2 linked regions of the Macaca mulatta genome follow. The protein of the gene in region 2 interacts with the protein of the main gene of each other region in a pairwise test. Links are inferred from orthologs where the notes say so. Each region holds a gene or a part of one and is shown on either strand. Other genes may lie near its edges.

Region 1 (4,291 bases), on a different chromosome or scaffold from region 2:
TTTCAAAGAATTTCTAGACCTCTCTGGCTTTGAAATTTTTGTCTCTCAATTGTATTATAAACACCTAGGGATGTGATTCCATAGTTTACCTCCTCCTACACAAGACTAAGGAGGCAGCTGCTTCTTGGGTTTTGGCATATACATGTTTCTTCAAGGTGTTAAAGGGAAAAAAGTACTTGTTAGGAGGGCTACATGTCACTAGGCAATAGGAACTTTTCAGCTCCGTTATAATCCTATAGGACCACCGCTGTATATGTGGTCCTATAGATTATAACGGAGCTGAAAAGTGCTAGCGAGCTTCTTAACTGGGATAACAGTTTGTTTGTAAACGTATGCAAATGTATTTACTTGTGCTAGCCCAAGGTCAACCTAAAAGGTGGCAAAAAGGTTTAGCCCAGAAGTCTACATAGAGACTAGTGTTGTCTACCTCCATACCACCCTGAACGTCCCCCAATCTCGGACGCTGAGCAGGGTCAGGTCTGGTTAGTACTTGGATGGGACAATAGGGCTAAGGTGAGTAGATTTAATGCTCCAGAATAACGACCTTTACAGACAGGTCATTATGTGGCACGTGGCTGTATGTACAGTTATTAAAATGTAAATATACATATTTGCAAACAAACTATTTTCCCAGTTAAGAAGCTCGCTAGCACACACCATTCTGTTGAAAGCCCCCTTTACTCCGCAGACCTGAAGGGAGTGAGGGAAGGACGTAAAAGGGCAGAGGAAAGAATGAATGAATGCGAGACACCGATTCTACAGGTATTTGTTTCCATACTGCTCTCTACCAGAAACGTTCTCAGTTTCCTTCCTTCTGCTGGACATGGTCCAGGGGCCAAAACCTCAAATAATGTGATGTTGTAGATTGGAGAGTGTGACCACAGAAAGGAAAGGGAGGCAGCACGTGCCAGCCAGCGACAGAATGCTAAGTCTGCAGCATACTCCACCCCAATGAAACAAATAATTTCTGTATTTCCTCCCTTTCCTTCGCCCATAGTCACTGTGAGAATGGGCTACAGAAAGTTTCGAGGCAGTAAAGCCAGTAGTTCACCCAGAACATCTGACTGCCATAAAAATTATGGTGACGAGAAAGAACGTTTGCTCAAATGCCGTGGTTGGGGTGAGGGCTGGAGAAAGGTCCCACCCCGCAGCATTCACCTCCCGGGCTCCTCACCATGTGCATTGCCTCCTCCATCCACTTTTCGGTCTCTTCTGCCGACACCGAGCACGCGCCGCCTGCAGCTGACTTGGGCGCCGCCTTCGCCTCCATACCCGGCCACCACTCAGCGCCAAAGGCCGCCGCGGAGGAGGAGCGCGGGCAGCGGAACGCGGCGGGCCCGGGCCCCCGTTTCCGGGGGAGTCGAATGGAAAGGCACTCGGGAGCGATTTCTGAACGGACCTGGGCGTGTCGGACCAGTGAGCAGCGGCGGCTGCGCCGCGGCAGCCGCAGAAAGCGCAGCTGCTTTGCTCTAGTCCACGCCCCCTTGCCGCTCCGGTGACAGTCTGCGGAAAGCCACGTTTGTGATTTCGGGAGAGCGCAGAGCGGGACGGCGGCGCTCTTGCTTGGTCATCTGGGCCAGGTGACGAAGAAACAGTTTCCCGGTGAAGCAGCCCCTCACTCATAGTCAGCGCACACCCCTAGGGCCTAAAGATGCTGAGGTCCGTATGGAATTTTCTGAAACGCCACAAAAAGAAATGCATCTTCCTGGGCACGGTCCTTGGAGGTGGGTGACAACGTTCTTGAAAGTGGGCATTGGGAGAAGGGAGTGGGAGAGGTGACTTTTTCTAAAATAAGAACAGGCCGGGGCGAACCTAGTCTGGGATCTGTAGAGGGGATTCGATCAACCATGGGATGGAAAGGGAGGTGGCCAACCTCAAGGGTTCTCCCATCTCTGCAGTTGAGAAATGCCTCTGTGCCCTTTGCCCTGTCACCGCCTCTTAACTGTTTCTCACCTATCCTTTTTTCTCACGGACCTTTGGAGAATTCAGTACAGTTTAAGTTTCTGTTACAGGAACTTTTTTTAAAAAATTCTGCTTTCCTGTGAGATTCTTCATTTCTCCTTGGCACTCTTGGCACTATGGCTCTCACCCTTCTCAGGAGTTTAATAATAATCTAGGGGAGGTGGTTTAATAATAAATGATAAATAAATAAATAATAATAAACTCTCAGGAGTTTAATAATAATCTAGGGGAGGGAGTTTAATAATAATCTAGGTGGTGGTTAAAGTCGATTTGAATTTTTGAAAACAGCGCAGTTGTCCTGAAGGACTGAAAGAGATGGATTAGATAAAGAAAAACAAATCAATATTTTAGCTCTGTTTCTGCCATTTTAGAATACAAACTGTGGCAGTAAGAAAAATGCTTGAGGGATGTTGCGCAGTCTTCCTCAGGATCTTCAAGGTTGGGATCATTGTAATCTAACTGACATAGCTGAGTTGCACGGGCCCAGAGGAGATTTAGAAACAGATAAGATAAAAATCTTGAGACCCTTTTCCCTCATACAATGCTCATGTGATAATATTCAGGGATTTGAAGGAGGGAATAAAAAGCTTTGTGAATTATATGAAAAGAACATCTAGGAACTTTAAAAGAGGAAATTTGTTGTAACTTGAGTTTTTGAGAAATATTCTTATCACTTATTATGTGCTGTGTTTACAGAAGTACTTAAAGAACAGAGGTTCCCAAAGAATTTGGTTGGCTTTTCTCTTAGTATTAGATTGTATTCTGTTCTCCCCAAACAATTTGAAATTAACAATACATATTAGATTGTATTCTGTTCTCCCCAAACAATTTGAAATTAACAATACTTATTAGATTGTATTCTGTTCTCCCCAAACAATTTGCAATTAACAGTACCTTTAGCATCAATAGTTCAGATTTTGGTGATGCTTCAAAGTTTGAAACAGAGTTCTTGTTGCTGAGCCAAGGATGGTGTTTGCATGCCTCTGACATCTATCACAGATCAATAATAAGCGTGTAAATTTTGAACATCTTTGAGAAATCCTTTATATATAAAAGGTATTTTCTGATATCTTCATTCTCTAGTATCTAATGTATATTTAAATTATCCTAAGACTACCGAGTCCATTTTATTTATAAAAGCTAAAAATAGATGTGTGATTGAAGCAATACAAATAAAGTATTTTTGCCTTTACCGAAGGAAGGAAAATTATCTCTAACAATCTCAGAAGGAATACTCCTTCAGCTTATGGAACAACCTTGTGGTAAATTAGAAATAATCACAGGGGAAGCAAAAGAGTAGACTTAAAAGAAATTTATAATTAAAAAAAAAAAATCTAACAAGAGCCTTATAGTTACAGAATAAGAGGAATGCAAAAAAAGAAAAGTTTAGACGGATAGAAAGAGAAAATAATCCTAGTGTTTTATATCAATAAAGGAGTCAGTCTGAAAAGAAAGGAAGAGTAGATGACCATGGTTGGCATTTGTTTGAGCCTTGTATTCTTTCTGCTTCAGGGAGAAAGTTCTACAGTATGTTAGATTTTAATTAATCTGACTTAAGAAATATTTATCAAGTACCTGTAGTGCTGAAAGTAATATGTATGGAAATACAAGATTTATAGATTTTTAATAGTAACAGCTACTATTTATTGGGAGCCCACTTTACACTGGGCATTGTGCTAAGCTCTTCCTATTTAGGCAGAATGACAAGAAGGCAGTTATTATTATCCCCATTCAAAAATGTGGCAACAAGAGCCCTAAGAATTTAAGAAACTTGCCTCAGGTCTCAGAATTAGTGAAGGGAAACTGGAATTCAAACCCAGGTGTGTTGGACCCCAAAGCACATTCTCTTTCCACATTATATCACTGTGCTTCCATGGTCTTTATGGTCTGATAGGAAGGAAAAGCAAGTATACATGTAATTAAGATACAGAAAAACAAGAGAGGTGAAAAAATGCTGTACAGATCACACTGGCAAGTAGCATATACAGTTGTGAAAAATCAGGAAGAATTTCATGGAAAAAGAGACACATTTTGACAGGCTCGAAAGCTGGACAGTATATCAACAGGATGCTTGGAGAAGTTTGGTCATTCAATCGTGGGGGAAATAAGTAAGTAAAACCTTCAGTAGCAGGCCTTCTTAAGTAACAATTTCTGTTTCCTTGAATTTTAGATGGGTAACTAATTGGTTTACACCAGTTTGTATAATTTGACCAGTTTGGGGTGTTTGGGTGTGTTCGGTTTTTGTTTTTGTTTTTTTTTTTTTTTCAGACAGGGTCTTGCTCTTTACCCAAGCTAAAATACAGTGGTGTGATCATAGCTCACTACAGCC
Region 2 (3,114 bases):
TCGCTCGAACCCAGGAGGCGGAGGTTGCAGTGAGCCGAGATCGTGTGAGTGCACTCCAGTCTGGGTGACAGAGCAAGACACCGTCTCTTTTTTTAAAACAAAAAAAAAAAACTTAAGGCTGCTCCTTCCGGACTGTACCCTGGCATCTCTCTGGACCCTGCTCCCTGTCCTTTGGGGAAACAAAGGCCTGCCTTGGCCTCCTAAAGTGCTGGGATTACAGCCACTGCGCCCAGCCGGCCTTCCTCTTTTCTTTTGTTTTTTGGGATGGAGTTTCACTCTTGTTGCCCAGGCTGGCAGCGTGATCTCGGCTCACCGCAACCTCCGCCTCCCGGGTTCAAGCAATTCTCCTGCCTCAGCTTCCCGAGTAGCTGGGATTACAGGCACGCGCCACCATGCCTGGCTAATTTTGTATTTTTTAGTAGAGATGGGGTTTCTCCATGTTGGTCAGGCTGATCTCAAACTCCCGACCACAGGTGGTCCGCCCGCCTTGGCCTCCCAAAGTGCTGGGATTACAGGCGTGAGCCACTGCACCCGGCCAACCTTCCTCTTTTCTTGCTGCTCAGACAGACACATAAGGAGCCAGGCTGCCTTCCAGATGTGTGGCCTTGGGCAAGTTATTTGATGCCCTGTGCCGCATTTCCTCACCTGTAAGGTGGGCATAATGACAGCACCCACTTTCGGAGGTTCAGTGACTAACGCATACGGCAGTGCGTGGGGCGTAGTAAGCACCTAGCACTATGTATTGTCATCAGCATCCTCTTCTCACCCGAGTTCCCCTGTGGAAAACCCTCATCTCTTAAAAATCAGGGCCTTGGCCCTTGCCCTTCCCCTGAACCAAAATGTGCCCTCCTCAGTACTGTGTCTCCTCCCAGGGTCCTGACTGCTCTTGGTGGTGGCTTATGAGGTTTCCATGCAGGCCAGCGCTTCTGCCAGATTGGGGGCTTCCCGAGGGCAGGGTGGGGTTGTCTTCCCTGAACCTGCCTCCATACTGCCCGGGCGCTGCTCCACACATGACCCTCCAGAGGCCTTTGGTGTTGGATGTCGGTGGAAGTTAAAGGAGGAATGGGAGGAGGTGTTGTGGGCCAGCGGCCACCCCGAAGCTGAGCTGGTGGAAGGCGTGGAGGCCAGAGCCAACCCCAGAGGTCTCGCCCGTGTGTACCGGGCTCTCTCCTAGCTCCCAAAAAAGTCACCTTTGTTTTTGGGAATGCGCTGCGTTCGAAAGCGAAGGCCTCTGGGCCTCCTGGTTTGCAGGGACCCCCCCAACTCAACTTGCTCCCCATTTATTGCTTCCGCCAGGGCCAGGATCCTCTTCCTGCTCCAGTTGCTGGCCGACCACATCCCTGGCGTTGGCCTGGTCACAAGTAAGCTGGGGCGGGGACGTGATGACTGTAGTGCTGGGAGGCGCATGCGTGCCCCATCTTCCTGACTCCTGTGTCTCCTTGCAATTCGATTCTTGGCACAGTCAGGAGAGGAAGTCGGGAAGTCAGGATTGGGTGGGACTACCCTGGCCAAAGCCAGGGTGGCCTGAGGAGCCAGGGGTGGCTGGAAGGAGGGTGTCCAGTGGTGGGGCGACTGTTAGACCACATCAGCTGCCAGCCTTTTTCTGGTCACAGTATCCTGGAGCAATACGGGACCATGTCATCGTGGGGGGATTCAGTGGTGGAGAAGCAGTCCACCGGGCTGCTGAGATCCTCCCTCAGCAGAGGCCCACTGGGCTTGCACTGGGTGACTGGACCGGACTCAGGCCCCTCAGTGCCTACCCTGGCTGAGCTTCCCTCGGCCTGAGGGTCCTCGTCTGTAAATGGTGCCAGAGTCCCCTGCAATGCTGCCTCCCTAGGGGCAGGGCAAGAGAGCCAGCCGGGCTCCTGGGCCGCAGGGGTGAGGTGCTGTATGTGGCGCCACAGCGCAGATTGGGGTCTGGCCCGCCCTGACGTGTCCCTCTCCCACTGCAGGGCCGCTCATGGATTACTTGCCCACCTGGCAGAAAATCTACTTCTACAGTTGGGGCTGACAGACCTCCCGGAAGGAGGGTGTGGGGAGGGGCGGGGCAGGGGGCCCCCTTCCCTAATAAAACTGACTCCAGCAGCGTCCCAGCGTGCGGCCTTTCCGTGCCTACCGGCCAGGCCCTGCACACAGCCCTGGTCGCCACCAGCGTTCTTCCCGGGACCCTCTTGACTGCGCCCTCCTGTGACGATGCCACTGCAACCCGCACCTTGTCACTGCTGGGCCAAGAAGCCTTCACCAGGAGTGGAATCCAGCCTCCTCTCCCACAGAAAGCGGTAACTTCACCTCATGGAGCCTGGGAAGCCGCTTGCCTCGGCAGCCACAGGAGCGAACACTGCTGCTCTCTCGCTGGCCCCTGGTGAGGGCAGGAAGGCTGAACCTGGGTGATGCCTGAACGCTGCCCAGCGTGTCTTATGGCCGGGGCCCTCTGCCTGCCCCTGCTCTGCAGGGCCGTGTGGCTCTGGCAGCCCAAGGCCATGGTGTTGTCAGCCTCCCTATGACAGAGCCTGGTGAACAGTGAGCCTGGCTCCCACGCAAGTGGCACTTCAAGCCCTGCATCCTTGGTTGAGAGTAAAAGGCTTTTCTTCCTTAGAAAAAGGACGTCCGGCACCGGCCAGTACTGGGGAGGAAGTGGGAGCTGGACGGGCTTGGGGAGGAAGCCAGGGCCAGTTCAGGGGGTATGAGCGGGGGTTCCCCACACTCGCCCTACAGGCTCCAGAGGTCGGGTCCACTTGGAGCCATGTAAGCTGCTATGGGGGAGGGCCTGGACGGGGTGGGCTGCAGGCTGCTCTTCTCCCTGACCTTAGCCTGTCCTCAGCCACTGGCCCTGTGAAGAGCCAGCCTCTCCTGCTAGAGTTTCAAACCCACAGAGAGGGCTCCATCTGCACCTGGGTCCTCCATGCCTCAGCTCCTCCCAGACACGCTGCTTTCCTCAGGGCCCTCTGAGGAGCGCCCCCCAGGCCCTCACCCACAGGGGCTGCCTGGGCTCCCATGGTCTCCAGCTTAGTGGAACAGGCGTTTCTGGGCACATGCCCAGCCATCAGAAACCAGCAGTGAAGCACGGACCCCTGTCCTCCGCCTCTCACCAACAGAGGAGACAGGCACGTGGAT

Evidence for each region. The genes of interacting proteins can lie anywhere in the genome.
Region 1: the proteins of PEX16 (region 2) and PEX3 interact in binary tests that used the Homo sapiens proteins (3 or more experiments, as listed by UniProt). The link is inferred for Macaca mulatta from reciprocal best matches to the Homo sapiens genes PEX16 and PEX3.

Annotation. Positions count from the first base shown.
Region 1 is NC_133409.1:48,705,955-48,710,245, forward strand, and holds the start of PEX3 (peroxisomal biogenesis factor 3), read left to right. Parts: upstream 1-1,467; 5' UTR 1,468-1,651; coding exon 1,652-1,724; intron 1,725-4,291. Other genes in the region: ADAT2 (tRNA-specific adenosine deaminase 2), read right to left, coding at 1,175-1,270. UniProt on the Homo sapiens protein: Involved in peroxisome biosynthesis and integrity. Assembles membrane vesicles before the matrix proteins are translocated. As a docking factor for PEX19, is necessary for the import of peroxisomal membrane proteins in the peroxisomes.
Region 2 is NC_133419.1:19,705,841-19,708,954, forward strand, and holds the end of PEX16 (peroxisomal biogenesis factor 16), read left to right. Parts: intron 1-1,296; coding exon 1,297-1,361; intron 1,362-1,952; coding exon of another isoform or gene 1,953-2,011; exon of another isoform or gene 2,012-2,083; coding exon 2,084-2,175; 3' UTR 2,176-2,601; downstream 2,602-3,114. UniProt on the Homo sapiens protein: Required for peroxisome membrane biogenesis. May play a role in early stages of peroxisome assembly. Can recruit other peroxisomal proteins, such as PEX3 and PMP34, to de novo peroxisomes derived from the endoplasmic reticulum (ER).